Linked DNA regions of Drosophila melanogaster. The gene in region 2 interacts genetically with the main gene of each other region. Each region holds a gene or a part of one and is shown on either strand. Other genes may lie near its edges.

The links.
Region 1: of sqh (region 2) and sds22, changing one suppresses a phenotype caused by changing the other (phenotypic suppression), as found in Drosophila melanogaster (one study listed by BioGRID).
Region 3: of sqh (region 2) and Drak, changing one suppresses a phenotype caused by changing the other (phenotypic suppression), as found in Drosophila melanogaster (one study listed by BioGRID).
Region 4: of sqh (region 2) and aurA, changing one enhances a phenotype caused by changing the other (phenotypic enhancement), as found in Drosophila melanogaster (one study listed by BioGRID).

What each region holds. Positions count from the first base shown.
Region 1 is NT_033777.3:17,387,670-17,395,269, forward strand, and holds sds22 (sds22), read left to right. Parts: upstream 1-3,924; 5' UTR 3,925-4,038; intron 4,039-4,087; exon of another isoform or gene 4,088-4,111; 5' UTR 4,112-4,259; coding exon 4,260-5,240; 3' UTR 5,241-5,351; downstream 5,352-7,600. Other genes in the region: Brf RNA polymerase III subunit, read right to left, coding at 2,827-2,931, 2,991-3,359, 3,421-3,493; lute, read left to right, coding at 41-715, 774-1,311; CREG (cellular repressor of E1A-stimulated genes), read right to left, coding at 5,822-5,931, 6,004-6,085, 6,147-6,590.
Region 2 is NC_004354.4:6,220,250-6,228,319, forward strand, and holds sqh (spaghetti squash), read right to left. Parts: upstream 4,892-8,070; 5' UTR 4,758-4,891; exon of another isoform or gene 4,448-4,757; intron 4,272-4,447; exon of another isoform or gene 4,162-4,271; intron 3,909-4,161; exon of another isoform or gene 3,868-3,908; 5' UTR 3,756-3,867; coding exon 3,336-3,755; intron 3,263-3,335; coding exon 3,158-3,262; 3' UTR 2,812-3,157; downstream 1-2,811. Other genes in the region: Efr (ER GDP-fucose transporter), read left to right, coding at 1,133-2,191; dtn (detonator), read left to right, coding at 5,926-5,971, 6,191-6,483, 6,551-7,666, 7,728-7,933, 7,995-8,070. UniProt on the Drosophila melanogaster protein: Required for cytokinesis, could regulate contractile ring function.
Region 3 is NC_004354.4:11,489,243-11,497,779, reverse strand, and holds the start of Drak (Death-associated protein kinase related), read right to left. Parts: upstream 4,646-8,537; 5' UTR 3,915-4,645; coding exon 3,781-3,914; intron 1-3,780. Other genes in the region: CG33235 (uncharacterized protein), read left to right, coding at 6,257-8,537.
Region 4 is NT_033777.3:11,960,971-11,968,818, reverse strand, and holds aurA (aurora A), read right to left. Parts: upstream 5,696-7,848; 5' UTR 5,528-5,695; coding exon 5,414-5,527; intron 5,350-5,413; coding exon 5,049-5,349; intron 4,987-5,048; coding exon 4,166-4,986; 3' UTR 3,993-4,165; downstream 1-3,992. Other genes in the region: CG12213 (uncharacterized protein), read left to right, coding at 1,472-1,631, 1,694-2,022, 2,080-3,274, 3,333-3,394; CG3281 (uncharacterized protein), read left to right, coding at 6,107-6,262, 6,316-7,776.

The DNA.
Region 1 (7,600 bases), on a different chromosome or scaffold from region 2:
ATCGGAATTGTATATATTTACTCTCTATGATTCCGCTTAGGTACCTTTATTGTGATGAAATCAAACTGGAACCTGAACACATTCTGGCCACGCTCTATGCAGCCAAGAAGTACATTGTCCCGCACTTAGCCAGAGCATGCGTCAACTATCTGGAGGTGAAGTTGACGGCAAAAAACGCCTGCCTACTTCTCAGTCAATCGCGTCTGTTCGAGGAGCCCGAGCTGATGCAACGTTGCTGGGAAGTGATCGACGCCCAGGCCGAGATGGCGGTTAAGTCCGAGGACTTTGTGGATATTGATCTCAAGACCTTTGAGTCAATTCTTTCGCGAGAGACACTCAACTGCAAGGAGATACACTTGTTCGAGGCGGCCCTTAACTGGGCAATGAACGCCTGCGAGAAGATGAGCATCGATGACACGCCGCAGAACAAGCGCCGGCTGCTGGGACAAGCGCTGCACCTCATCCGCATTCCCACAATGTCGCTGGAGGAGTTCGCTAACGGCGTGGCCCAGACAGGCATTCTTTCGTCGCAGGAGACGATCGACATGTTCCTGCACTTCACTGCCAAGATGAAGCCCTCCCTGGGCTTTCCCACACGCTCCAGGGCGGGATTAAAGACCCAGGTCTGCCATCGCTTCCAGTCGTGCGCCTATCGCTCGAACCAGTGGCGCTACCGCGGGCGCTGTGATTCAATTCAGTTTTCTGTTGATCGAAGGTAAGTTCTATCTAACAAATGGTTATTGGATTAAGGTAATTAAAACTGAAAATTTCAGAATTTTCATTGTGGGTTTTGGACTGTACGGCTCGTCGACTGGTGCTGCCAACTACAACGTAAAGATCGAACTTAAACGCCTGGGCCGCACGCTTGCAGAGAACGACACCAAGTTCTTCTCGGACGGATCAAGCAACACGTTCCACGTCTTCTTCGAGAATCCCATCCAGATCGAGCCCGAGTGTTATTATACCGCCTCCGTAATTCTCGATGGAAACGAGCTTAGCTTCTTTGGCCAGGAGGGCATGTCCGAGGTGCTAATGGGCAATGTGACATTCCAGTTCCAGTGCTCGTCGGAGAGCACCAACGGCACCGGAGTTCAGGGCGGCCAAATCCCAGAGTTAATCTTCTACGGACCCACCACAGTGACAGCAATGAGCTCGCCCACCAATTCACTGTGTCCCACGCCAATTGGTGGCAGTTCCTCCAATGCAGGAGCGACTTCAACCGCAGCAGCCGGAACAGCTGTTCCGAATAGCAGCAATGGATCTGGCAATAACGCCAACAGTTCTGGGGAGGATGGCGACGGAAGCACCTGATGCGCACAGCTCTATTGCGCCGAGTGGCAGGGAGCCTGTTACTACCGCCAACAGCAGCAGCAACAGAGGAGACCAACACAACAATACAAAACACAGCAACCGCAAAAGATACAGATACAAAATCGAAACTCATGGGTTTTCAGTGCAGCACAAGAAAGTAAATTGGAGTTTTAGGCTCATATATATATATATATATATATATATATACCAAGATAGTAGAGTACTCTAGTTTTCATAATAGTCCTATATATAAACATATATATACACGTCAAAGCATAGACACATATATATACACCTCGGCAGTGCGTTTTAAAACTCCAAGACGATTGTCAGTACGTGATCATCTCAAAAAAAAAAGTCAGCCGATGCAAGTCAATCGATATAGGAAATTTGCTATAATTGGAAAGTTTCCTTCGATATCCCAAGTATGTTAAGCAAGTGAAATCAATGGTTTTGCAGTTCTAAAACGCACTGCACATAGTCTGTTGGTAATGCATATAAAGATATTTTCAAAATCGAAAAAGTTGATCATATACACTCTTAACTTTATAGATAAAGATTAGTAGTTGACTCGAAAACTTAATACGTTCCACGACTTAAGAGGGCGGGATGGGGTCATATGGACGCTAATAGAGACGCATAGATACATGCAATAAGTGAAAATCGGGCAATCAGTCAAGCTAGCGTTAACCAATATTCTAAAGACAGTTAAAGGGAGAGTGGACAAAAGCTAATACGATATATACCAAACATATTTTTGCCAGCATATACCTAACATATACACACATCTGATCTGATAATGATAAACTATAGTCCTAAACACTTCGAGGGAGAATAGGCCATGTTAATAGTTGCATACGACGAATTTGAAACCCAAGTTAACCAGTTAACGAAATAGCAAACAAAAATGAAATCAAGGGATCTTGTACGAGATGCGCACAAAATCCCCCCTACATATATATTCAAATATTAATCTTGTAGTACGCATTATATCTATTTCGTAGTTGTTCCATTATATCTCTCATACATACACAATATGCCTTTCTACTGATACTAAGCCCCGTACTTCTCCTGTGCATTATTATAGCCTGCTGAGCGCAACAATCAGTTTTACGTTTGTATTTCGGATTTCTTTGGAAATTGTACTGATTTTTTGCTTTTGATAAGACAATTATGGTTTTTATATACATATATCTATATAAAATGTTATCCTGTATTGATTATGAATCTATTACCATTATGTACTTTAATCAAACAAAATACATTATTAGATTTTTGCGAATTTACTTTCTCAGAGTTGAAGATTTTGGATATTTTGACATCACGTAAGTAGTGCATAAAGAAAACAGGAACGAGTAGAGTATTGTTAAATACCTGATAAAAGGAAAGCAAGCAAATCTAACAAACCCAACAAAATATTTTTAAAAAAACAAAAATTAAGAGTGGAGCTATGGCTTGACTTGACTGTGGATTGGGATTTAGGTGTATAGTTTAGTATTCACAACGTTCACTCACCCAGAGAAGGTATGTTGATACAAAGGGCATGCGATAACTTTAAGTAGGTACGACCAAGCTCATAGGAACAGATTTGCTGTACGTCGCTGATGTCGATGAGGAGATCTGTGAAGATATGAGCAGTCAATAAGCTACTCTTTAGGCAAAATGAATGCACTACTCACGGGAGGTGCCCTCTGTCCTGCAGGTCATGTACACGCAAGCGGCGTAGATGTGGGTGCTCTTCCTACCGCGGGTCAGATGCCTACCCAATGCCATCTTGAAGAAATTCAGAGCAGTATCTGCATAGTGCTGGGATAGCTGCAGCTGCTGGCAGAGTAGTGTGATGTCCTTCTTGGCCTTTTTGATGGTCACCTCGCGGGATTCGGTGCCCGATCCCACCTGAAACTTGCCGTAGCCATAGTTGGTGGCACCGCCCGACGACTCGGCGGACACAAACTGGCCAATTGCGGCTGCTCCATGGCCAACTTCCTCGAACTGCACTTCGGAAACAATGAGGGAATCCTCCAATACCGAGCCGCAGTTCATGCAAACTACAGTGAATGGGTGAACGTCGTTAGTGTCATGGATATGGGTCCTTGGATGTCATTATACCTCGATCTCCGCGAGCATTGTCTTCCTCGATCTCGTTGGATCCGCAATTGCGACATTTTAGGCCCGTAGACATGATTGTTTGTTCTTTGCTTTAATAAACACTGCCACCTGCAACGCTTCGTTTTTATCCGTTGTTTTGACAGTTTAAACTACTTGTTTGCTGTCATTTGAAAGCCATTTTCGAGTCTTTTTTAAACAATTTGCAATTTGTTGCCAATTGAATCAACACGCTTGGAAAACATCTGATTGAACCCCGCCGGCGTTGCTTAACACTGATGATAGAAGAAGAAATGCTAGAGATGCGCATTTCTCAATCAAGAACGACATTGGCACAACTGCTTGAAAAACTTAAAAGAGATATTAAAATTGTAAAAATTACGTAAAGCTGGTTCCAAAAATTATGTTCTAGTTTATTTGGCAAATTATCAATCAATATTTGTTTTTCATTTACATTGGAATATATAATAATACAGGTTTAGCATCGTGTTCTTAGGTGCACATCTCTAGTAGAAATAGTGTTAAAGTGCCGGTAAGGTGACTAAGTATTTTGTTGACATATTGAACAAGTTGGACCAAAAGGAGTATACAGTCATCTTGGACTTAACTTATAAATATTAAGTAAATATTTTAATACATATTTATTTTAAATTTACATATTTATATTTACCGTGTGTTCTTGCTTTTGTAACAGTGTCAAGCTTTGACGTCATATTTAAAGAAAGTCACCCCACTTTGTTCCACCCTGAGCAGCGGAATAAACAACAAGTCAAGTCAGCGTTCAATTTTCGAAAGTCAACTTGAATTAAAAAAAAAGAAAAGCCGGTCAAAATATATCAGTCATGGGCGATGCTGATCGTGCGATGAACGAACCAGAAGCCGCGAAAACTGTGTCCGGAATCCAGGTGATTCCCGCCGAGGATGTGGCTTCCATTGAGGATATAATCACAATCGATCCGGACTGCTACGAGCTTGATCTGAATCATCGCCGGATCGAGAAGCTGGAGAACTTCGAGCCGCTGACTCGAATCGAGCGCCTGTTTCTGCGCTGGAATCTGATCAAGAAAATCGAGAACTTGTCCAGCCTGAAAACACTGATTGAGCTGGAGCTGTATGACAACCAGATCACCAAGATTGAGAATTTGGACGACTTGCCCCACCTGGAGGTGCTGGACATTAGCTTCAATCGTCTGACGAAGATAGAGAACCTTGACAAGCTGGTCAAGCTGGAGAAGGTCTACTTTGTGTCGAACCGGATAACCCAAATCGAGAACCTGGACATGCTCACCAATCTGACCATGCTAGAGCTGGGGGATAACAAACTGAAGAAGATCGAAAACATCGAAATGCTCGTGAATCTACGACAGCTCTTCCTGGGCAAAAATAAGATAGCAAAGATCGAGAACTTGGACACATTGGTCAATTTGGAGATACTCAGTCTACAGGCCAATCGCATTGTAAAAATCGAGAACCTTGAAAAGCTTGCCAACCTCCGCGAACTCTACGTTTCGGAAAACGGAGTGGAAACCATTGAAAACCTCTCGGAGAACACCAAATTGGAGACCCTCGACTTGGCCAAGAACCGGTTGAAGGGCATTGCCAATCTGGAAAAGCTGGAACTGCTCGAGGAGCTGTGGCTGAACCACAACGGAGTCGATGACTGGAAGGACATTGAGCTGTTGAAGGTGAACAAGGCGCTGCAGACCATCTACCTGGAGTACAATCCGCTGGCCAAGGATGTTCGCTACCGCTCCAAACTGCGCGACATACTGCCGCAGCTGCAGAAGATTGATGCCACCCTGTGCAAGGTGCCCGGTACCTAGATGGAACCACTGTAAACCCCTTGAAAGACTAATCCACGGCGTTGCGCCACTACATTTATATCGATTAACTTTGAAAAACTGCGTTTAAAATATACATACAAATTAACCACTAATGGTTCTATCTACGAATTGGTGGGTGCAGTGATTTAGTTTGCTTTCAGAAGAAGGTATATTTGGATAAGTTACTCAAAGCGTGAAGTTTACCTAATGAGTCAGATAAATTATCCATCTAGGCTACCGCCTAACATATAAAACTAAAAAGTATTTTATATATACACATAAATAATGTAAATTGAATCTAAAAAGATGAAAACATTTTAGTTAAACAATTCTGGTTTCTCTTAAACCAAAACAATACATTTCAGTATGTCAGAGTACATTCAACGGAATGTATTTTTATTTATATCAAAGTTATTGTTCTATCGATTGAAATCACAGAGCTCAACTGATAAGTGGCTTTCATAAAGGCCTTTGTCTTCATTCTTTCCCTTTGTGGCAGACATGTTGTGCAAATATGCTTATCATTTCATTTTTTGACAAAGTATATGAGGCGTCAGTTGGATTGCTTTTGGAGGAGTTCATCAATTCGAAACAGCGTAATAGTCAGAGGCGCTCACTTTATGAGGACCTCCATAGAAGTCCAGAACAAAGATATTGCTAATTTCCAGTTCGCAAAGGTAGAAATTGTGAGCTGTAAAAGAAACAACGTATTTATTATTAGTACATACATATCGAGCTCTTAATGAGGTTCGCTTTCACCAACCTTTTACCCAATTGATGGCAGCTGGATGACGCCTCACATAGGCATCCAGCGATGGCTGATAGCTTTTGTCGCTAGGATCCATCTTCAAATGAGCCAAAACATTCTTAATCCATTTTAAATAGGATTTAATTCATTTTTCATACCTTCTTCACCTGTCCACTGATCATGGAACGGGCACATGTAGGCTCCATGGGATCCTTTCCGCCCTCCTTGCATCTTAGGGTCTGCTCGTCACTGAACAGGAGTGTGACCTTGTTGTCCTTCTGCCAGTCGGGACCAGTGAAGTCCAAATCGGTTAGCAGGAATCGAATACGTCCAGTGGACCTGTTATTAGCATCGCTGTCGTCGATGGAGATAATGTTGACCATGGGATACCCCTTCACCCGTTCGTTGGTGGAGAGACTTCCCACAGCCGCCCAATTGGCGCGATGGACCAAATCTCTGGCGATCTTGGCGTGATTTAACTCTTGCTCTCGCTTATATTCTCTAATTATACGCTCATCTTTCCGGCGGGAGTAACCGGAAGAGGGGTCCAGGCTCACGAGGGCCAAAATCAGGGCGAATAGTAGGGAGTGAAAGGTTTTCATGGCTAGACTGCAAGTATAACGATGCGGTTCTGAAAGATCACTGAACACTGGACAGCTGACGGGTCAGCATTTATGGACAGGGAATTCGCAATGACTGGCTTATCTTCCGGTCATCGTAATCGCGTATAATCCGCACTTTTAGTACTCTCTCTGATTCACGATGTAGGCCGTAAACAAAGCGGACTACGGATAGCGTTGACCTTTTACGCCTCTTTCATTTTCTCTGTGCGCCGCATTCTGCCAGTAATGCCCATATATATATGTATTTATGCCTACCTGGAGGATCTGGACTAATGGCCCCTGTCGGTACTTCTGCTTTGCGATTTGTTTGTCAACTGACTGGGCTACTATTGCGCCTTTATTATCACCTGCTTCGAGTACAAAGAACCACAACCAGCTGTTTTCAGCAGGTACCTCGGATGCGGTGGGGTGTATGTGACGCATATGTTCGTGCATTTTTCTCAGTTCTTCTCAGTCTCTCAAAAATCCATTAGTGTCTTTTATTACAAGATGATTTTAAATGCGCCCCATTAACTGGTTATTTTGAGCACTTAGTCAGTAATGTATGCAGAAAGCAGCGATAAATTGTAAATAAAAACGAATATCTAATTAATTAAAGTTTGGACTTTAGGAATAAGAATAATGTGTGTGGTAAATTTTAACTTTCAAAGAAAACAGCTGCCGTAAAATTAAATCACCATTGAGATTAAATAGTTTGATGTAAAGGAAAATAAAATTTAAGAATTATTTTAACAAATTCCTTTTGGGTAAATTGGCAAGCCGAGTAAAAACGTAACACCAAACTAGTTAGCCATTCGTAGTCCGAGGGTACCAACCGAGCGATCATCCAATAACGGTGGCATACAGCATTGCCAGCTTGAATAAAGTAGACTGCTATAAAACTAGGCTCGTATAAGCAGATCTTGAGCAGAGATTGGTGTAGTTTAACATTTTGTTTTCTTTTATTTTGCAAATATGTAGGTATGCTTAAATATGATTTTTGTTTTTAG
Region 2 (8,070 bases):
GTGCGAGCAGTGTTTATACAGCAAGCAACTGATATAATCGATCTTGATTCTCGACATCCCGCCAGTGAGACAAAAGAATCGAGATCCGAGATCCGTCATTAAACCGGACAATCCACAGGCATTCGTAACTCGCACATCCCGCGGATTAGAATATATCCCATTGCGAAGGTAAGTAACGCCGATAACGATTGTCGTTTTTGTTCAGTTTAAATTAAACAATTCGCATAGTTCTTATCGGCAACGTGACAATTGTCCAAATTGCCGACTAACGCTGAGCGGGCTGCGATCTACACTCACCCACCGACCTTGGAAATACCCTTCCAGTAAAAACCAGAATTCGATTATATATATCGAAAAAATCGATCTGCTACCAGCCATCGATAAAGAATCTTAATATTTCAATAAAAATTAGTACCGCATAAGCTTAGTAAAAAAGTGAATAAAACTGTCATTAATTTCACCAAAAAAGACCACTTTAAAATAGCTTTGTTTACGATCAGTTCTATTTTTGGTAAGCATTTTATGCAAATTTTATATCTCCTATAACTGTTAGCTATCGTGATTAATAAATCTCGGAGCCAAATGATTAGCTTCATATGCATTCACAATGCGCAAAGAATAAGTATAATAATTTATGCTAATGTATGTTTTTCTTCGGTATCCCCGTGTGCTTTGCACATACGACGTACGACTGAAATTTAATAGCTCTGAATTGCTGAATTGCAAATTAACAATAATTTAAATAAATAATTTCATCAGTTAGTAGTAATATATTCAAAACAGATTGATTTATTAATAGTGCTAAACTCTTTTTTAGCATAATCAGAGCAAAATTTAGTGGAAATCAAATTGCTTCGTAATCATGGCAATGTTTTGCGAATGTATAAAACAATTTACGTGCATGTGTGTACATACGTACCTACTTATTACCCCTTTAAGATAACAGATAGCACGGAATGTTTTACATGCTAGAAAACAAAATGAAAAAAAAAACACACTTGACAAAAAGTTTAAAAAAAATTTAAAATTGAACACGTACTCTAACATCGATTGTCAAGATGCTGGATTTTAATAGCCTATAACCATTCATATTTTTAAAATTTCTAAACATATACATATTTATCTTTCAGATATGGCTCTGAACCTGAAGGCCCTGCTGGGCATGCTGTTCGTGTTCATCGGCTGCTGCAGCAACGTGGTCTTTCTGGAGCTGATCATTCAAATCGATCCGGGAGCGGGTAACCTGATCACCTTCGCCCAATTCCTGTTCATCGCGCTGGAGGGTCTGGTCTTCACCTCCAAGTTCTTTACGGTGCGACCGAAGATTGCGCTGAAGGACTACGTCATCCTGGTGGCCCTGTTCTTTGGGGCGAACGTTTGCAATAACTATGCCTTCAACTTTAACATACCCATGCCGCTGCACATGATCTTCCGTAGCGGATCACTGATGGCCAACATGATCATGGGCATTGTGCTGCTGAAGAAGCGCTACAATCTGCGACAGTACAGCTCCGTGGCCATGATCACGGCTGGCATTATATTGTGCACTCTGGTCTCCAGTGGCGATGTCAAGGATAATACACATCACAGCCTCAAGGTGGATACATCCTACTCCGATTTCTTCTGGTGGACGGTGGGTATTGGCTTGCTGACAATCGCCCTGCTGGTCACCGCCTACATGGGCATCTACCAGGAGGTGATATACAAGAAATACGGCAAGCATCCCAGCGAGGCCTTATTCTTTACGCACATGTTACCTTTGCCCGGTTTTCTGATCATGGCCGGCAATATAGTCCAACACTTTGGTATCGCATGGTCATCGGAACCAGTGGCCGTGCCACTGCTGGGAGCCATTGGACTGGAGTGGAAATTCCCGCTGATGTTGTTCTATCTGCTGTGCAACGTGGTCACCCAGTATGTATGCATCAGTGCCGTCTACGTTCTGACCACCGAATGTGCATCGCTAACCGTAACGCTGGTGGTCACCCTGCGCAAGTTCGTCTCGCTGCTGTTCTCGATCATTTATTTCCGGAATCCATTCACCCTAAACCATTGGGTAGGCACCATCCTGGTATTCTTCGGCACAATACTCTTCGCCAATGTGATCAACCAGGTGAGGGACGCCTATCGGGCCAGGTCGAGCCGGAAGACCCACTTCGACACCGCTCCGCTGGCCAAGAAGGTGGAGTAATCTTCGCGGGCTGTGATGGTTCCTGCTGCAGAGGCCATTAACCATTAACCATTAATTTGTAGTCGTAGCGCCTTGTTTGTACATAGAATTTGCCTAGTGTTTAGACGCCTCTTTGTCTGGTTTGTAATTCTTGTGTCCGTGTCTTTCTAGATTTTCAAATGTTCGTGTTTTCTTTTAAATTAATAGTTGTCCAAAAAGTGTGTAATATACAACGTTGAGTGTTTCGAACATTAAGCCATCTATTTAATTGATTTTTTTTTAAATAAATTCTTGAAAAACATATATTTGCAGAAGCTGAAATATCTTCGAATCAAAAATAATGTGAGATAAGATATGAGTTTGCAAGTTCGAGTCTTTTGGACATGAACTCATTAGTCAGCTTGTCGAAGATTCCAAGAAAATTTTGACTAATTTCCGAAATCTCTTTCAATTTCCCGCCACATTTGAAGCTACATACACTTATCACATCGTGCTAGTGATCATGCTTAATTAGCCATGGGGGGTACATATTCCAAAGTTTCCCTTGTTTGATCAGTTGCTTTTGGCTGAAGGATTTCTGCAGACATCTGTTTGGTTGGACGTGCGCACGTTCTCGAGTGTAAGAAAAACAAAGGTTTATTGCCACATTCTTGTATAAGTATGTATTTGTATATAGGTAATATATATGTATATTCAATGAGTTAATACTTATGAAAGGAGTTTTTCGGGAAATCGTGTTATCTGGCACCAACATCTCACACACTACACTGTCGTACATAACAATCGCTGGTGTTGGCTACTTTTTGTTTAATTCAAATGCACGGATAAGTACAGGATTATCAGGAATCAAAGAACAGAAGGCGCGAAACCAAAAAAAAAAAATATTTATACTTGTATATATTAAATTATCAAAACGAAACTCATGATGGATAGTTTGGACAGGCTGATTGGAGAGGCAGCTGGCTAGTGAATCGACTGCTGGCGATCTTACTGCTCATCCTTGTCCTTGGCACCGTGCTTAAGGATGCGCGTGAATTCGAGGTAGTCGAACAGACCGTTTTTGATGGGCGCCTCCCGATACATCTCGTCCACCTGTGAATGTAAATGGAAAAGAAGTTGTAAGGGCACACTCCGACTTGATATCGTAAACAACTTGACAACATACATCCTCGTCTGTGAACCGATCACCCATGGTGGTCAGCAGCTCCCTCAGGCGATCCTCGGGCAGGACGCCCATATTCTCCTCGTCGAAGCAGCCGAAGGCGTTCTTGATCACATCCTCGGGATCGGTGCCCTGCAGCCGCTCGCCGAAGAGCGTGAGGAACATGGTGAAGTTGATGGGCCCGGGCGCCTCGTTCATCATGCCATCGAGATAGTCGTCCGTTGGGTTCTTGCCCAGCGAGGCCAGCATGTCGTGCAGATCCTCCTTCTCGACGAAGCCATCACGGTTCTGGTCGATCATGTTGAATGCCTCCTTGAACTCGGCAATCTGCGCCTGATCGAACATGGCGAACACATTGGAGGTGGCGCGTTGGGCGCGCTTCTTGGTGGTGGCGCGACGTCCGGCGGTCTTACGGGATGACATGGTTGCTGTTGGATTGGTGGTTCTGATGCGGTTAATGGAGCTAAATGGAGCCGGCCTATGGAGCTGGTGGCACTAGTGCTTCGCGCTGGAGTGATGTGTGTGCGGCGTGGATCTGAAATCGAAAAACGCCGACTCACATTAGCATTTCGTTGGCCGGGTATGTATTTATGGCTATATATAGACATATTGCAGCGAATTCCGCTGAAACCGATTTTCATTGCTCCCCAAACAAACTGTGTCAACATACAGTGGACGCTCGCTACAGTGAGTACACCATGCATATGCTTATCACAACGGAAAGAACATCTTATTGCTGCTCTTTAAGGTTTTTTAAGGAATGAAGGTTTGGCCATTGCCTAAAATGGGCGAACTACAAATTATATTTATAAATAAATAGTTTTAATACAGTTTTAGGCCAGAAAGGATAATGCAAAAGCAGTTCGATGGCTCCATGCTTCCGCTACAGTTACAAGTCCACCTTATCGGGCGCCCACTGTGAGTACGACTCATGCACGCACACATGCGCAGCTCTCTGAGTCACTCGCGCAAACGAAAATGACACGTATGGGAGTTTCGCTCTCGCTCTGCGCCAGTGCGTGCATGTGTATGCGAGTTTATCAATGCTGTTGAACTGCGGTTAACAAAAACAACATCGCACACGTATTTGGCTCATTGAAAACATTCTCACACACACTGGCACACGCATTTCAATTAAAGCCTTAAAAGGCCAGAAAAAAACCGCAGTTGAAGCACCCAAATTCACTCGAGAACTCAAGTTGGGCCAAATGTTTGCGACTTCGTTGATTTATCACTTTCGAATGGACATTTAAATGGAATTATAGCACAAAAACAATTGTTTTCATTTGCGCGCTGCCGACGCTGACTCATACGCATACACTAACACACACGCACACTCACATAGGGCAGCGCCCTTTGGGAGTTCAGTTCGTTTATTTTATCGAATATGATTGCTTGATTACGCCTGATTTGATTCATACTCACAGCTGCCGAATGCCGAGTGTTTAATACTATCGAAGTTTCGTTAATGCAACTTTCGACCAGCTGCACTTTTGTCTTTTATAATTTCGGTTCGACGAGAAGGCCAAGTGTGACCAGCATAGAGGCGGTTTCAATTTATCAGAAAATACCGCAGAATATGCTAAAAATTACTGTGCAAAAGTGCTAATTGTTGGAGCTCCTAAAATAAATAAATATTAAGACTATAAATTATATTATAAAATATAAAATTATATTACAAATGTGAATACTACTGAGACTAGGACCATGGCTATTAGAATCCTAAAAACCTATTGTCAGTTGTGCTACCAGATCTTGTTTTAAAATATTCGTTCCTAAGAAGCTCTTTTCTTGTAGAATCTAAAGTTTCTCAAAAAATTTTCTTAAGCAATCCCAATTAATTTTATTTTTCTTTATTCTTCACTGTCAAACATGGTATTTTTTTTTTTTTGGTATTAACTTTTTGAATTGCCCGCGTTCTGATTGGAGTTTCAGGAGTATGCGCACAGTCTGGCAGCCCCATATTACAGCACTTCCAAATACGGTAGTACCACTATCTTAGGATATTGTTTTCAATACGGTATGGACACACTGCAAAGTGTTTGGAATGTTCGATATTTGTGTAAAATTCTGAGAGACCTGAATGAAAAGAGGCATGCATTAGGGCGTCGAACGAGGGATTTTCCAGCCCAGCAGATCCTTGCCAGCGCGTGAAAAGCGAGTCGAGTGAAAAATCGAATCGATTGGCACGGTTGCGGTCCAATTAATTTCGAACTGAACTGCGCGATTTGCAGGAGAAGATGTGTCTATACCTGCATGTGCATGTGTATCTGTGTGTGAGGTGGCCCACGGCTGTGTGTGTGAGCAGCGTGTGAGTGTGTGTTGGTGTGTGGGTGTGTGGGCACACTGGAAAGAATCAATAAAGGATGTGCTGCGGATTGCTGAGCGAGAAAAAAGGACGAAAAGTGCTAGCCAGCGCGAATTAACGGTTGACTTTTGGCACGATTAACGGAATAACGGTCAAATAAGCCACACAAGCGAGAGAACAGTGAAAATAACGAAAGTGCGGGCACAGTTAATTAGCAAATTAACGAGTGGGTGGGCACAGGATTTCAGGATTTCGATATATTTTGGATTCCTGCACACGAACAAGATGATGAGATACTGCCTCATAATTGCTTTGCAGCTGTCGTTGGCATGTAAGTATCAAATAAAGTTTCCAAACCCAGGGGGGTGGTACAAAAAAAGCGATGGAGTGGGAGGAGGGAGTAAGCCAGTGGGAGGGGGATAAAGGAGGAGTGGGTGACCTCCGGGTTTAAGAAAATCCCCAACCCCTATGTTACCATTACCAAAATTCAACTAATTGACTCCTTCATCTACTCCCAACCCATAACAAATCCATGCCGAATCCTCGCCAGACTCCGTGGAGGTGCACTTCGAGGCGCCGGACAGCGGCTTCTTTCTGAAGCACGCCCGCCAACCACCTGTGACGCCGGAGATCGCCAATGTGCAGACATCCTCGGCGGTGCCGCCGTTACGGCAACGATCCTCCTATGATTCCGTGTTATCTCTGGACAGATTCACTGTGGTCGAGACCACGCAGCCGGTGTCCATACGCGCCAGCTATGGACCGTTTTCCACGAAACAAACGGTGCCAGCCCGCTACATTGTGCCGGACACAATGGACAGCCAGTCGGGCGATTATATGAACGTGAGTTATCCCCAAATCCTGGCAAGCAACAAAAGGACGCCTTGTCATACCACTTTCTCTCCCACAGAATGCCACTCTACTGGAGCTCCAGCAGCCAAATATGCACCTGGACATATCCGCCCATTTGGTTCGCTCCAGTGTATCGCAGGATGCTCCCGTGCTTCGGGTACTATTCCACGCCGGAGCCGATCCGGGTGGTCATTTGCAGCGCCAGAAGGTCTGTGTACTCCTGCACGTGGCGATGGGTTCGGAGCAGCCGCTCAAAGGACGCTGCATGCCGGAGGGCGAGGACGGTGTCTGCGTAGCCGAAGTGGTCGTGCCCCTGGGCTGGTGGCCCCAGCTGCCGGCGCCCACACAAGATGGCAGTGGTCAGGCGCCACCCAAAGTACCGCAGCGGTATGCCCAGGTCTCGTACAGTGTCTTTGAACCGCCTTTGCGTAATCCCGAGCAATGCGAGCCGAAGGTGCAGATCCAACCGTTGACCACATTCGCCCAGGTGCCTTTGTTGGCCGCCAGGACTCCCTATCGTATGTTGCGCGCCGATGATGCCGTCACCTTTCTCCTGCCACAACATCCGCTGTATCCACTCTCCCGTCTACATGTGCCCGTCTTTTTACATCAATATCCCGATCAGCGGGTGGCCGCCTTCACTGTGAGAGCTCGTGTTAAGGCGGGCTTAAAGATTCTGGGCGCCACCGCCTCCACAGACCAATGGAGCGTTTCTGTAGAGAAGGAAAATCCCAAACACACTACCGCTCGCGTTACTGCTTTCCGCAAAGAGGCCGAATCCAGTCTGGAAAGTGGTGGCAACCTAACCAGCGAGGTGTTTGAAGTATTCTCATGGCTGCTCGAGGTGGCCGAGGACACCAATGATATTGTGGACGGTGGCAAGATTGTGTGGTCCGTGACGCATGTCTATGACACGCCAAAGGACAAGGATTCCGGGGAACTGGTTATACCCGATGACAACAAGAAGCGACTAATTGCCAAGCTGGAGATCAACAAGGATGACATTCAGGCGGTGCTACCGATGGCCAAAATCTGGGAGGTGATGAACACGGCGGTGCTAACGGGCAGACAGGTGGCCCAGGCGATGAAGGTGTTCATCGTTTCGCAGGCAGGCAAGGTGGCCGATGTGACGCTACAGAGCTCCTGTCACGCCGAAGATGAAAGTGTAATCAAGGTGCGTCTGATGACTGTGAATCGTGCAATTGCTAGCTAAATAACCAATCAACTTCTTTCAGGTCTCCTCCTCCTGCAGCTCTGTTTATGTGGATGGCTCCGAGCAGCGCGGCTCATCCAATGCCTCGGTCATTGTCAAGTATGGCACCTATGTGGGCGTGGCCAAGTTCATCGTTTGGATGCCCGAGTTTCCGCTGGAAGTTTACATATCCGATTTCCGTCTCTCCCAAATCAAAGGATGGAAAGTAACCGATGACAATCACTATCTGTAAGTTTATTATCCTGTAGTTTGAATATCTTACTTATCATTCTTATTCATTGCATGGCAGACACAACAAGCAGTCTCGTCGAAGAAAGAAGAGATCCTACGTTTGGGGTCAGCATGGAACGAACTACTATAACAAT
Region 3 (8,537 bases), 5.3 Mb from region 2:
ACATGTGAATAATAAATGGACAAATATACACGTATCCCAAGCTCAATCCAAATAAATAAATATATAAAAGCCTCCCAAAGGTGTGACTTTCCTCGTGTGCGAGCTTCAATTGAATTGTAATTATTGTTATTTATTATTGATTCGCATTCTCTGGCAAAAACCATATATATATATATATATATTATATATGTTCATATGTACACACATTATAAGTTTGCACAAAAAATTGAATAAAATTTCCATTATGCAAGCGTTCGACTGCCCACAAAATGTGCGTCCTAATTTCCAATTGAAAGGCCAAAAACTCCGGGCTACGAATAAAAACTGGACAATGTGCCAATGCTGAAGTCAAGTGGGCTTTGTGAAGTCTTGTGGCAGCCACAACAGTCCAACAACCAAATGGGCTAACAGGCAAACACGGCCAAAGACAACTGAAAAAGCAGCTAGCAAATCTGAAACTCCGGTGTCCACAACTTCATTTGTCTCGCTGTCAATTTGTATTTCTTTTTCTTCAATTTTTTTTTTTTTACCATATAAATTGGGCCATAAGCCAGCAGCAGCACCAAGTTGATTTTTTATTTTTCCATATATCATCATCCCATCCATCCAAGTCGAATTATGCACAGCTCAAAAAGTTATAAGAAACATTGTGTATGTGCGTCGCCCAATTGGCCAATATTTTTTGGCATTTCGACTTGCAGAAATCAGGAATCCCCCCGCGATACACCAAACCCCCCTCGCCAACCCACCATTATTTCCCATTCGCATTGATTGACGGCTTGCAATTGTCAAATGTTTCCATTTTGGCAAGTTTCTTATATTCCACTGGTCGGTCATTAGGGTTAAACATTGTGACATAGGGGGGTTAATTTAAATAAATTGCATGTGTTGCGCGATTAGCAACTTCATTTCAATTTGTATGTAAGACACTTTCTGTGCCTAATTATATTATATTATATTAAATTGAATAGTAAATCTGTCACAACAAAAGTTAGAGCTTAACTTGTACCGTTTTCTCTACTGTTGCAACACTTTTAGCCAAATCCCAATTCTGCGGAAGATTTTAATGATATTTATGGCACTGCAAACGAGCGGTACAAAAAAAAAAGTTCCCCTCCATTAAATCACCTTCCGCCCCTCGTTTTCCTTATCTTTTTGCGACTGATAAAAAATTAAAGCTTTTTTGTAGCCAAAAGAAGGCATTTCTTCGGCGAAACGTTTAATAATGATGCGTTGATAAAGCAGCAAACGACCCAAAAAAAAAAAAACACAACAAGAAATATTAAGTATAAGGTATAATGTATATAAGAATGAATTCAACAAAGTGAAGACAAAACGTGAAACGAAAGCAAACGCAGCAGCAACAAGTTGGTATTGAGCGAATACGGAACCAGAGAATCATGAGAAACCAAAACGAAATGGCCAACAAAAGAAAAGGTGAAAAAGGAGCACTATTGCCAAGGAAAAATTAAACCCGTCTGCAGAAGAACATTTAGTTCTGCTAAATAAGGCAATTTTGGCAAACGGAATTCCAAGGGAGAATAAAATGAATATAAATTACGGACCAAAGAACTTACAACTTGAATGGAGAAAACACCATTATATGACATTATAAGTGTAAAGATACAAACCAAATGGTATTAAATAAATAAAACATTATTATAAAGGCACATTAGCAAAATCAAATCTGTTATAAAATAGAGAAATTTGAAGACTTCAAAGTGATCAGCAAAACAACAAATAGCAAAGCATAACATTTTACGAGAAAGTTGAATTTATTATAACAAATTTGAATCCATTAAATTTTTGGCAAACAACTAAATTAGAAAATTACAGTTAATTGTTGCGATCGCATTTCACATTAATGCGATATGTACGCCTCTAAAAATGTTTGTATTTTCGAAGCCACTTTTGTCAAATATTTCCTCCATCTCATATACGGTGGTTTACACTGCGCTTTTGTTTTTACAACAAACACCTCGGACAAACGGCTTCCTGATAAGAATTACGATTTGAGAACCACCATCGATAGATGTGACAGAAAAATTTTATTTCATACGCCTGACTGCTTACGAAACTCAAAAACATCGATTGGGATTTACGTTTTATTATTAATTTTCGTTTCGTTTTTTTGTAATTTTTTTGGCTGATAACAGAATGCTTATCAAGAATGGGGGGAATATGATGATAAATGGGGTACCGGGCAGCATGAAACCACGGAACGCTCGAAAGCAAACGACCTTCGTGGGGCGAAGAGGGGGTGTGGGTGTTGTGGTTGGCGGATTCTGAAGAACTTTAAAGAAACGATGAAATGCAAAACTAATAAGGCAAAAAAACACGGCTCAATGCGAAAAAAATATACAAATGTATATGTATATGATGAAAAAGGGTACAAAATGCAAATCTAGCTGAAAATAATGATAGTCAAAGGGCATTCGAGACAAGGAGAGCAATGCTTGGCAGAAAGAGATAGTGCTGTCCCAACCATATGGTGTGAGAGAGAGAGGGCCTAGAGAGGGACGTAGAAAGAGACGACGGTGCATGAGGGTCAGTTCGCCAGCAAACGGTAACAGCTGCTCTTTGGAGAAGTGAGAAAAAAGGGAGAAAATGCAGGGAGCAGAATGAGGAAGATGAATGGAGAGGGAGGTAGATGCGGAAGAGGGAAGCAGGCAAAGAAACTCAAGAAGAGGAAGAAGCAGAACGAGGTGCACAGTGGTTGTTGCACAAATCTAAAATTCCACATAATTAACTGAAGGGCAGAACCCTTGAAACGAAATCAGGTAAGTAAATAAAATGAATCTCTTGATACACACACAGTGCATAAGGACAATCGCGAAACTGACCATATTGTCAGCAAATTCGTATCTAAAAATGCGCATTTTTAAAGCGTACAAATTCAGAGCTATTTTCAAAACCAATTCGTACTGAATAGATACGTATTTGTTTACGAATCTTTCGATGTTCATAACAAAACCACTGTGCCGTTATCCACACAAAACTCTCTTTTTGTCTCCCGTTCACATGTGTGTGTTGAGTAGAAGCTCACACACACAGGCAAGTCGCAAGAAAGAAGAAAAAAGTAAATAAAACAAGTTTTGAGACGCAGAAGTTTTTCAGAAAAAATAAAACAGACTCGCCACTGACTTTCTTTAACATTTTTAGCTTTGTTTCGGTGGTTTTTGGATTCCGCTTTTATTTTTTATTGAATTTAGCAGCTGCATTCGCAAAAACAAGGAAAACAAATCTATTAAACGATGATAAATTCACTGATGTTAGGTGTGATTTTGTAGCAGTTACCTTCAATTGTGATCGCAAAGTATGTTTAGGTTGTAAAAACTTAGAAGATCATTTTCAATATGGTTATTTTTGGCATAACTATGCATAGAGACATGTATATTTATCTTGGATTACATTTCAAAATATTATGATACGAAAAAGAAACGATCGAGCTTAGTAAAACAAATAAGGCGATCAAGAAAAGATACACATATGTATAGATTTATGGTATTCAAGTACCTAAAACAAGTAAGTAAAACTCCTAGCTTAGAACTTTATAGTTAGTTACATATGTATATCTGCGGTATGGACTGTATCTATGGTTCTGACCAGAATTCCCCAAAAGAGCTAAATTATCTATATGGTTTCCTTTCTAACTGATTTTTTTTTGCAGTGTGGAGATGCAAAAATCTTGTTTTTGTGCTTCTTATTTTCGGTTGAATTTTTGGCAAGGGAAAAGGAGAATAATAGCGCGAAACTCAAAACAGAAAACTAAAAACTCACCTGGCAAACGGCGTCTGTTCCACTTCGTAGATCTCGTTGATGTCGGGACATGAGACGAGGAGTCCCTTCAGCCGATCGGCGTCCACATCCAAAAGTCCGTCGCCAATGGGAAAAATTCCCTTTTCGGTGAACATTTTGTGTGTGTGTGGGGGGGGATTGTGGTGTTTGTGTGTGTGTAGTGTGTTTGAAGATCGAATCTTCTTTCGATTTTTGGCTGTATTTAATCCTTCGTTTGATTGGCTTTTATTTTTTTTAATGGTAACTTGTTATTTCTTTGAGGGTCGAATCTCAACTGCACAGAACCAAAAAAAATTGTAGTTTAGTGATAAAAACACACGCTTCGATATAATGCAGCGGAATACGTTGCGCGCGGGAGAGCGACAGGGAGGGAGAAGGAGACCAGATTCCAGTACAACCCAAAAACAGCAAAAACAAAAAATCACACTAATGAATTAAAAGAAGTAAAGAAGCAAAAACTATGCAACTGCAACACACAGACACACGCGCGCAAAGAGAGGCCCGAAAAAATTCCCGCGTGTGTATGTATGTGTGATGCTGTTGCTGCTGGTTATGTTTTTGTTTTTGTTATTTTCGGTATTTCGCCAGTTAAGTACCGTTCTCTCCGAAGAACTCCGTCTCAGCTTCTCTTCTTCTTCTTCCTCCGCTTGCTCGTTTCAAAAAGGGTTTTATGCGAAAAAACGGCTCGCAGATTTTGGCCAGGCTTTATTCTTTTTTTTTGTGTGTTTCGCTTTGCGGAGGCACGGAGGTACAAGAAACTCGCAGCGGAGCAGCGCGCACGAACCGTTCGTTGGCGGATTGAAATTTCAATTACTCGCGTTCGCTTAAAGTGAACGCACACCATGAAAATAACTCTGCTGCTGGGGCCTGGTATTTCTTGCCAGTGTCTCTGGTCACTCTGTTGCCGGACGTTTAACGCTAGGCACTGTGAAAAATACCAGAAAATACCGAAAGTCTGTTAACAGCACTAGGTTTATAACAGTGCAGTTTTGTTTATAATTTAAGCTGAGAAAAGGCAGAAAAAGTAAAAATTAAATTTCGTTTCAGTAATAATAACTAATGTGAAACTAAGTAGACAGTTATATGAACACCATCTTACAAAAGTAGTTATATGACGTTTCCAATGTTAAGTTTGGTGGAAAGCACATGGTCACACTGCGGCCGATTCAAAGCGTGTTTTCAATTTACCAATTATTGTTATTTGGTGGAAACGTAATAAAGATATTATTTTTGGGATGCAATGTGCGTTTTGGGTGGCGCCTGTTATCGGGGCGTGTGGGCATAACACAGCCCGCAAATAGTTGGCACCTCGCGTCTTCATTGGATTCTCAATTTTAAATGTATATTTATATTTATGCTTGCTTGCAGTTCCCTGGCTTTTTCTCGCCCTGCAAATTTTCCCGCCTTGTTTTCCCACCGTTTGTGTGTAGGTGTGTGTGCTCCACTTGCAAGCCAGTGCACATTTCTCGTGCACTCTGAATCATTACTAAGATCTTAAATAAAGTTTAAGTATATATAGTTAAGTATAGTTAAATATAGAAAACTTTTTTTCTACATTTCAATCCCTCTCTCTGGAATAGACCTATTTTACACCACGCCATTTCTACTTTGTTTAAAAATCATAACTTTGCTAATTTCTTTCAGTGTAATTGGATTGGATGGGATATGCAGTGGATATGCGTTATGTTTGCATTTCTCGTGTGCGTTGCATATATTTTTGTCACCACGACGGCATCTCAGGAATGCGGAGCACCAGAAATAAACCAAGTGCAAAAACCTTTAGCATCCGTCTATTAATAATGTTGTCGTCTCCGGATCTGCTTAGGTTTTTTTTACAAAATGATTTTATTTTTCTTTTGGTCGGGCGGTGGATTTTCTTGCCACGAACTCGCCAAAAACTCCTCTTGGCAGCCATTCAAGTTTAGCAGATCCGGCTTTTGACCTAGGGAAAATGCTTGGCCACCGCGAAAATAGAAAATCGGATCGCGAGAAACCCCAAAAAATTGGGTGGAAATTTAACAAGCAGGAACGAAGTAGTTTCGTTTTAACGCATAATTTGGTGTTACAAATTACAATTGTTATTTATAAGGCAAACAACATTATCTTGTATACAATGTCCTGTTCATGTGTGAGCAGTATAATAGATCTGATATTTAACACATTGCATCGACTTTTATTCAAGTGGAAACAAAATATTTTATTTTGTATAATTCCCTTTATTGGATACAACCACAATTTAAAGTAACCCTTACACTTCGAAAGTGTGGATTTGACAGCTGAAAGTTGACATTTGGAGCTCATTCCCTGAATACATTCTCTTTTTAAAAAAGTCGTTCACCAGGTAACATCGTCACAGCGGATAAAATTATATAATTTTGTATATTATATTATTTCTTATTTCATCACAAGGAAACCAAATTACTTTTATCATTCGCATTGCCATATCGGAAAGATAACCATGAATTTCAGCAAGAAACTGCTTGGCGACAAGAACCTTGTCCGCCTGGATTCGGACGCGACAAGGACATTTTGCCCGCAAGTCTCTGAAGGCAGACTCACATTGGAGAATGTCATTTTCGATCGAGGGGGCAGCGTGACCACCAAGAAGCCTAGGAAGCGCCCGACGCCGAAGCCAGTGATTCGTAATTTCAATAATTTGAGTGTCCCGGAGGAAGTGGATGTGGACAATTTGCAAGGCCAGCGTAAGGGCGTAGCTGTCAATAGCAACAATGATGAAATGATGATTTCAAGCTCGGACAGCAGTGATTCCAGTGATGATTATAGTTCATTCGGAGATGATATATTCACTCCAGGCCCGGAGACCAGTGATACCAGCGATGGTGATAGTTCTTGCGAAGATGAATTAAAGATTCCAGACTTTAAAAGCAGTGCTACCAGCAAAGATGAGAAATTGATTCCAAGCTCAAAATGGAATTTTACTTTGACGAAGGACATTATTCCACCCGGAGAGGGAAAGAAATCTCATATCGGGGCCTCCTTGCCGGAGCCAGTGAATCGTAATTTCAATAATAAGAGTGTCCTGGACTTGCAAGGCCAGCGTAATCAAGGCAGCAGATTCGGTGCCCAGGGCGTAGCTGTCAATAGCAACAAAGATGAAATGATGATTTCAAGCTCGGACAGCAGTGATTCCAGTGATGATTATAGTTCATTCGGAGATGATATATTCACTCCAGGCCCGGAGACCAGTGATACCAGCGATGGTGATAGTTCTTGCGAAGATGAATTAAAGATTCCAGACTTTAAAAGCAGTGCTACCAGCAAAGATAAGAAAATGATTCCAAGCTCGAAAAGGAATTTTACTTTGACGAAGGACATTATTCCACCCGGAGAGGGAAAGAAATCTCATATCGGGGCCTCCTTGCCGGAGCCAGTGAATCGTAATTCCAATAATAAGAGTGTCCTGGATTTGCTAGGCCAACGTAATCAAGGCGTCAATAGCAACAAAGATGAATTAACAATTCTAAGCTCGGACACCAGTGATACCAGCAAAGAGGAGAAAATGATTCCAAGCTCTAAGAGGAATTTCTTTTTGACGAAGGACATTATTCCACCCGGAGAGGGAAAGAAATCTCATATCGGGGCCTCCTTGCCGGAGCCAGTGAATCGTAATTCCAATAGTAAGAGTGTCCTGGATTTGCTAGGCCAACGTAATCAAGGCGTCAATAGCAACAAAGATGAATTAACAATTCTAAGCTCGGACACCAGTGATACCAGCAAAGAGGAGAAAATGATTCCAAGCTCTAAGAGGAATTTCTTTTTGACGAAGGACAATATTCCACCCGGAGAGGGAAAGAAATCTCATATCGGGGCCTCCTTGCCGGAGCCAGTGGATCGTACTTCCAATAATAAGAGTGTCCTGGATTTGCAAGGCCAGCGTAATCAAGGTAGCAAAGATGAGAAAATGATTCCAAGCTCGAAAAGGAATTTCACTTTGACGAAGGACATTATTCCACCCGGAGAGGGAAAGAAATCTCATATCGGGGCCTCCTTGCCGGAGCCATTAAATCGTAATTCCAATAATAAGAGTGTCCTGGATTTGCAAGGCCAGCGTGATCAAGGTAGCAAAGATGAGAAAATGATTCCAAGCTCGAAAAGGAATTTCACTTTGACGAAGGACATTATTCCACCCGGAGAGGGAAAGAAATCTCATATCGGGGCCTCCTTGCCGGAGCCAGTAAATCGTAATTCCAATAATAAGAGTGTCCTGGATTTGCAAGGCCAGCGTGATCAAGGTAGCAAAGATGAGAAAATGATTCCAAGCTCGAAAAGGAATTTCACTTTGACGAAGGACATTGTTCCACCTGGAGAGGGAAAGAAGTCTCATATCGGGGCCTCCTTGCCGGAGCCAGTAAATCGTAATTCCAATAATAAGAGTGTCCTGGATTTGCAAGGCCAGCGTAATCAAGGTAGCAAAGATGAGAAAATGATTCCAAGCTCGAAAAGGAATTTCACTTTGACGAAGGACATTATTCCACCCGGAGAGGGAAAGAAATCTCATATCGGGGCCTCCTTGCCGGAGCCAGTGAATCGTAATTCCAATAATAAGAGTGTCCTGGATTTGCAAGGCCAGCGTAATCAAGGTAGCAAAGATGAGAAAATGATTCCAAGCTCGAAAAGGAATTTCACTTTGACGAAGGACATTGTTCCACCTGTAGAGGGAAAGAAGTCTCATATCGGGGCCTCCTTGCCGGAGCCAGTGAATCGTAATTCCAATAGTA
Region 4 (7,848 bases), on a different chromosome or scaffold from region 2:
AACCGAACCATAAATGTTTACACTCATGTAAGTTAAACAACTGATAATGCTGTTGGGTGTTTATATCATATGGGCGAATACTTAATATAGGTTGGCGATAAGCCGAGAATGTGGGATCCAAAGTTTATTGACATGATCGGCGGACCCCACGGAGATTAGCAGCAAATGGATGGGCGCCATTAGTCGCTACTCGCGAATAAATGTTAAAATTGCTTCGTTAGCAAAATTACACGAAGGTGCAAATCGAAAAAGTTTATCAAAAAGTTTGCTGGCCATCTATATGCTCAACTCTCAAGGCCGAATAACGGGTTATCCACGCTGCGCAGACGATAAGAGTGTCTGAACTTGTTATCATTTCTCGTTTTTGGACAGAGTACCGCAAGCATAAAGATATCAGGTGGAAGAAATATCTCAAGCATAAAGATATCAGGTTGAAGAATACCGATGGGGTGAAATAATAGTTTATAGCTGAATCTATAAACTTCCGAAGATAAAAATAAGTGTAGATTGCGGCACCTAACAGTAAATGGCAGTCCAGTTATTGATTATTGCCCAAATGTTTGGGAACTCGTGGGGGCGGGGGGCTTGCCGTTTTACGGCGACGTTTTTTCCCCGTGTGCGTGGTTCACCTGGCGGACAGGTGAGATTCACACAACTGATACTGGACTACTATTGTTAATGTTATTGGTGGCACACTTATTCCAGATTGGCTGCACTGGAGGAGCAACCACTTGTGCGGACTTTACGTAATTCACGGTGTTTACCACCGCCATCGAGCACCTTTATTAAATTAATTTGATTGCCACTCTCTCTCTCGCTGCGCTACGTATATGCGTTCGCGTGCGAAACTCTCCCAAATGTTTAAATAAATTCCACCGAACACCCCGCGGAAAAGTGAGGGCATCAATCGTAGCCGAGATATTGAACTCACTTTGCACTAGTTGCTGAAAAGCTCGATTAATTGACTCCGGTTACTTTGAACTTAACGGCTGCTGCGGACAAGCAACACTTATTTGCGGCTAATTAAGCTAAATTAAAAATATTTATTGATATTCTCTTCGCGCGTCGCCGTCGATTCTGGTCAGCGGAGTGACCGTTTCGACACCTTTGAAATATATCTACGGCTCAAATTGGCTATCGCCTGGTGCCAAGCTGGTCACACCGGCACCTTGAGCTTGCCTTGTTAAAAACATAGCAAGCCTTAAAAATTAAATAAAAAAAAGGAATTCAACAATTATATTATTGCAAAGAACTGCGAACATTCATAATTCAGAACCTTTTAAAATTTCAAAGGGGATAAAAATAAAGTATAAAAAAATAATACAACTAAATTCATCGATAGGCAATCGCTACTATCGTTACGACGATACCATCGTACCAGCTCTAAAGCAAAACAAGAAGAAAAACCATTCTTTTTCTGCAAAGGAAATAGTTGCAATTTGTTGATTTACTAGCTTAAATCGAGTGTAAAATGAGTTCGGCTCGCTTCGCGCGCTCAGGGCGCGTCCGTATCTGCATCCTGATGAGCATGTTCATCGTGCTCATCATGATGATTGTTATCTACCAAATGTCCCAACACCAATTGGACGAGAGCCGCGCCTTCCAAGAGGGCCTCAGTGTCCAGATGCAATGTGGGTCTATTGTTTCTATCTTGTTTTGTCCATATGCCGACTGATTATGGTGATATCCACAGCCCTGAATGCCGAAAAACTTACCGCCGAGAAGAGAATGAGCGCGCTGCGCTCGGAAAAGATGACCCTGCAGGAGCAGTACGAGGGTCAGTTGGCGGAGGCACTGCAGAAGCAGCACGACACGGAACACGCACTGCAGGAGAAGTTCGACGCTCAGGTGGAAAAGTACAAGCTGCTGGAGATTAAGTACACCAACCTGGAGGCCGAGTTCGTCAAGAGCAAGAAGAAACACATCGAGGACACGAACGCTTTCGACCAAAAGCTGCAAAAGGTCCTGGCGGATCTTCATAAGGACAAGGCCAGCAAGGAGCGCGAGGTGGCTGCCTGGAAGGTATGCTTTTCTAATACATCCAAGTAAATTTCTTCACCATATCTACTTATGCTCCAGGAAAAGCTGGACAAGCTACAGCGCGATGGTGAGCACAAGATTCACGCCCTGGAAGCCACAATTGCGGAATTCAAGACCAACTGCAACTATGTACCTAAAGTCCAGCCCGCCGAGGCACCGGTCCAGGGACACCAGCAGCAACTGAATAAGCCCGCCGAGCAGATGCCCACCACGCACCACTCAAATCCTGCCCAGCTAGCGCACAGCATTGAAAAGCCCCGCAACGAGAAGTCCTTCGATGCCCAAGTGCAAGTGAGTGAAGGCCTCTACAGGATTGGCGGCGGGGTAAATCTGCTAGCAACTAACCCAAAACAAAACCTAACAAACGCGTCTACTAACTTCACACTTAAGAGTAACGGTGACGGAACCCAAGAGCAGCCGCAACTGCCTCTGCAGCCTTTTGCCGTGTCCAACAACCACAGCCTCATACTAAACTCTGTTGAAAACTTTCAGATTGTGCCCAAATCGGTCAGTGAGAAGCAACAGCAGGAGGAGCCGCAACTATCCGGCGGTCCTGTTTCCCCGTTAAGTGCACCCCGCAAGAGCAGCACCCAAGCCTCAGTGGGCAGCGCTTCGGACAAGAAAGCCGGTGATGCCCCCAACGCATCTGTAGCCCCAAAAGTTAGTAGCAGCGGCCTTCCCCCGCTTGCAGTGCCACCAGCGAAGACTGAGCGCAAACTTCCCGAAAACGTGGCTCCCATTCCCGAGAACTTTGAAGACAAAGCGGATACTAAGGGCGACGCTGTCGATGTAGACAACGCCGCCGAAGACCTGCCGAAGAACGAGAACAACAATCGTTACGCCAACGCAGTAAATGATATGGAGGGCAACAAAAATGTAGGCGTAGCTCCCAAACCCATCGAGGATTCGGGCGCTCACGAAGTTAAGGATGCGTTAAACGAGCCTAGCTTTAATTTGCCCGCCGCTGGTGGCGGCCAGAATTTCTTCGATGGCGAATTGCCGGCACCTGGTCCCGGACCCGTTCCCGATGAAACGGCCAAACAGATGGCCGAGGCAGCCGGTGCCGGAGGAGGTGGCGACGGAGATGACGACGACGATGTGGGTGATGTGGCCGTGAAACAGCCACAGCATTTGCTCGATACAGACAATCTAAACAACGAAATCGTTGCTGACCAGGGTAAGGAGTTCGCCGAAGGCATCCACCTGGAAGACGGCATGGATGAAGATCAAGATGGTGAGTGGAAGTGCTCACAAATCGGAATAAATGCTTAACACTTTAACTTAAATTGCAGAGGACGACTATTCCAATGGTGGTGCAGCACGCAAGAAGGGAGGCGAGGTTATTAGACACTAAGTAAGATAATTTTCTATTAATATTGAGCGGCAAGTGTGCAAAGGCTTAGAAACCCCTTTATATTAAAGCCGTGCTCGGTAAGCCATAGATTCTAGGGTTAATCATAACGAAATGTCGCAAATCGATCATTGAAATTTGTACGTTAATTGAAGATTATAAATCAAAATCTATCCTGGCTTGAGCACGCCCTAAGCTATTTAGTTTGTAAGTTAAGTTCAACGTCATGACTACCATCATTTCGTTAATAGCAAATGAAGAACAAGAAATTAAAACTCGCAGGAAATACAATACTCTGAGATGGAGCTACGAACAAATGCAGACAGATTTAAAATGAAGACTGTTTCAGTTCTGCCTTGCAAATTATTAGTCCCGAATTAGCAGTAATCGAAATCGTTGCTAAATCCTTACAAGTTTCATTAACAAATATACTCTATATACTTGGTTTTCTGTGATAAAAATAAACGCTGCGCTGCATTTGGGCAATGTTGCCTGTTTTTTTTGTCGCTGCCTACACGTTTCACTTCTGCATTTGCAATTCCGTCAACCCATTTCGCTAGAGATTAGGTAGCTACATAAGATAGGAGTGTACGCTAGCATTCGAAAACACACACAAACTTTATTGCTAATGATAATAATAAACTTAATTGATAAATGTTAATTTCTCGTATCTATATAAATGAAAATTTATGATGCCATAATTAAATTACGCGGGGAGCCCTAAACTAAAAATGTAATTAAAAGGAATTAACTGAAAATTAAACAAGAATGTGTTCACTGCGTGTGCGCCAGGATCCAAGGATGCACCATCACCTGATCCAGCGGTAGGCGGTGCTGCGGATTAAGGACCAGCAGCTTGGAAATGAGATGGGATGCTGCCTTGGAAATGTGCTCCGGCAGTTTGTAGTCCACCTTGAGAATCTTCTTGTAGGTCTCGTCATAGTTCTTCGAGTAGAAGGGAGCGTGGCCCACTAGCAGCTCAAAGCAGAGCACACCCAGGCTCCATAGATCCACGTTTTTCGTGTGCGGCTTGCCCTGAACCATTTCGGGTGGCAAGTAGTCGACAGTGCCGCACAGTGTCATGCGCATGGAGTTCGGCTCGTGCACGGACCAACCGAAGTCGGCGATCTTCAGGACGCCCTTGTGCCCGAGCAGCAAGTTCTCCGGCTTGATGTCCCTGTGTATGATGTCCCGCTCATGCAGATAGAGCAGCGCCGAGCACAACGCCTGAATATAGGTGGCCGACTGGCGTTCATCGAAACGTTTCATCGGCTGTGCCTGCAAGGCGTTGAAAAGCGTTCCTTGTGGCGCATACTCCAAGATCAGATATATGCGCACGTCGTCGTGAAAGTAGGCATACAGACGCAGGATATGCGGATGACGTAGGTGCGATTGTATCTCGATCTCACGACGCACCTGGTGCTCCACATTGGACTCGCCAATCTGGCGCTTAAAGAGCACTTTTAGGGCCACCACGAACTGGGATTCCTTTTCCCGCGCCAAATAAACGTTGCCAAACTTGCCCCGTCCCAGCAGGCGACCAATATCAAAGTTGTTGAGCTCCCAGGTCTTCTTCGGCTTCTGGGGCTGGGTTTCTGCAGAAAATTACAATTGAGTTTGGTAATTGCAAAAGATTACAGCTGAACCATTAACCCACCAGTCTTGGTTTTCTCTTTTTCAGCGGAGCTGCTGGCCGCACCCAGTTCCTTGGAGGATTCAGAGCTCGCAGCAGTGGGTTTCTGCTTGGAAAGTGACTCAGGCTTCTTGATAGGTGCTACTGGAGCCGGAGCAGCAAACTCTGATGTGGTCTTCTTCACGGACGGCACCATGGGTTTTTGGAAGTTGTTTCCTTCGGAGGAAGCTATGGAATTGGAGCCTCCTAGGCCTGGCTTCCTGATCAAAGCGCCAGAGGATCCTGGCAAGGGTTTGCTAGCTGGAGCCATATTCTCGCTGTTGGGCTGTATCACAATGGTACCAAATAAGAGTTTCAGCTGCACTCCAGAGATTTACCACTTAACGTACCTTCTTTCCCAATAGCAAGTTCTTTTGCATATTGTGCACTGCAGCTGATTTTTCTGGCATTCTGTGCGGAGCATTTTCCTTGGGACGCAGCACATGGTCAGACGGATGGGACATGACGGCACAGGCACTCGACAACTAACAGAACAGATTACAATTTTGGTCAGTTAACAATGAAAGCCGATATTGGGTAAAACATTCACGACTCCCGGGATCCTGTGAAAATAAAATGCCGTTCGTTTGAATTGTGAAGCGGGCGTGTGCGTGATGAGGCGAATGGCAAGTGTGCGATACTATCGGTTGGTTGAAGAATATCGTGACTTTGTAGTGTTAGAAAATGTTATATTGTGTATTATTTCAATTTGAAATCAAGAGAATTATTGAATAGTGCTCTAAACTTTGGCATTTATGTTATTTTAACCTTAATTTCTATCTCTATACAAATACATCTATCAAAGCGTCTTAATTTTGAAAATATGTTAATTCGTCGCACTTTATTTTGATTAACCGGACGATAGACTATCGGAAGATATTTATAAATATCGTTAATTGTGTACATCTCAATTCCAATATTTTTTATTTCTGGTGACTGTGAACCAGAACAGCTGTGATTTTATCGGGCATCTCTGAACATCAGGTGTTATTAACAAGCAAAGTTTTTATTGGAATTCGTCGTTTATGATATGATGCCGAATCATGGACACACCGGAGATCCACGTAAATATAAGCTCGCAGACTTGCCGCGTCTGCCTGGAGACGCACGAGACCAATCTGTATGTCCACGATGAAATCAAATACAACGACCTTAAGTTGGAGCTCTGGCAGTTGTTGGAGGCAGTTTCCAAATTGAAGGTAAAGAGCTACAATTTCAAGAAACTTCGAAAAATAAGTTCAATTATTTCCAGTGGACATGGACGGACCCAAATCTGCCTATGCATCTGTGTCAAAATTGCGCCCGCCGGCTGATCGGCGCCTATGAGTTCATCGTCGAAGTGGAAAACGCCCATGAAACTTTACAGAATCTCTTCGAGCAACAGGAAGTTGCTGCCAAGCCGGATGAAGTTCATGTGGATGTCGTGGAGCTTATAGACCAAGACGATGTGGTCAGTATGGCACAATACCTGTCCACGTCTTTTGCCGAACAGCACGTGGAAATGGAGGAGAAGTATGGAGACCAAGACTGTTCAGCTTTTACTTCAGATGTGGGCGAAGAGCCACTCTATGCGAGCGAGGATCGTGATGATGAGCCTGAAGACTCCTTTCAGCTGAAGCCTCGGCCAGATGAAATAGAAAACAGAGAATTGTCGCGACCTTCCCAGCTGGGCAGTCGTTTGAACCATTCGGCGAACTTCATCTACAAGTGCGCCGTCTGTCCGCGTGTCTTTGCCAAAAGTGAATCTCTGACTCGTCATTTTTCCCAAGCCCACAAACTGACAGCGGACGTGGCCGCCATGAAGCTGGCCAACGAGAGCTGCGGCACCGGTCTGCTAACCTGTGAGCACTGTCCGCGGACATTCAAGCGTCAGGACACACTCCGGCGACACATGCAGGCATTCCATCCCGACGCAATCGCATTGGAACCCGAAGAAACGACGGACAATTCCGCCCGAAAACGCATAGCTAAGCGGCGAGACTGTCCGCACTGTGGCCTGAGCTTTCCCGTATCTAGCCTTACCATCCACATTCGGCGACATACGGGCGATAATCCGTACAAGTGCGATCAATGCGAGAAGGCCTTTCCGCGCAGCCAAGATCTTAGTCTTCACATGCGTCAGCACACCGGCGAGCGTCCCAGTGAGTGCAAGATCTGCTCCAAGAAGTTTATTTCGCAGAACAAGCTGGCGCGACACATGCGATTGCACACGGGTCAAAGGCCGTACTCCTGCAAAATGTGCAGCAAGAGCTTTGTGCAGTCCAACGACCTTAAGATCCATATGCGGCGCCACACGGGCGAGCGACCATATCAGTGTGGAGTGTGCGGCGAGAGCTTTGTGTGCGGTTCGCACCTGAATATCCATCGTAACCGAAAGGGACATCTGATTGCTGTGATTCCGGGCAATGAAGTAGAGGCAAATTTTGCTGCTGATCCTTATGTAAATGCTAGGGTCAACCAGCGCCGTTCGGAGGATATAGAGCGTATGCGCCTGCAACGCATTCCCGAAAACCAATTGCAACAGAGACTGGAAAATCTCCCCAAACCGGATGTCCCGGCTATGTGCTACAAATGCGGTGTCTGCGAACAGAAATTCAAAAGTGGAGCTCTCCTGACCGTCCATCGCAATAAAATGAGCCATTATGAGATCGAAAGGGTCTACGAAAATCCGTTCGGAAAAAATCAGAAAATCATCAAAGCCGAATATAATTAAAATGTATTACTAGCTAAAGAAATCATCACTAATATAGAATGTAGAATGAACCCATGTATATTAGATACTAAT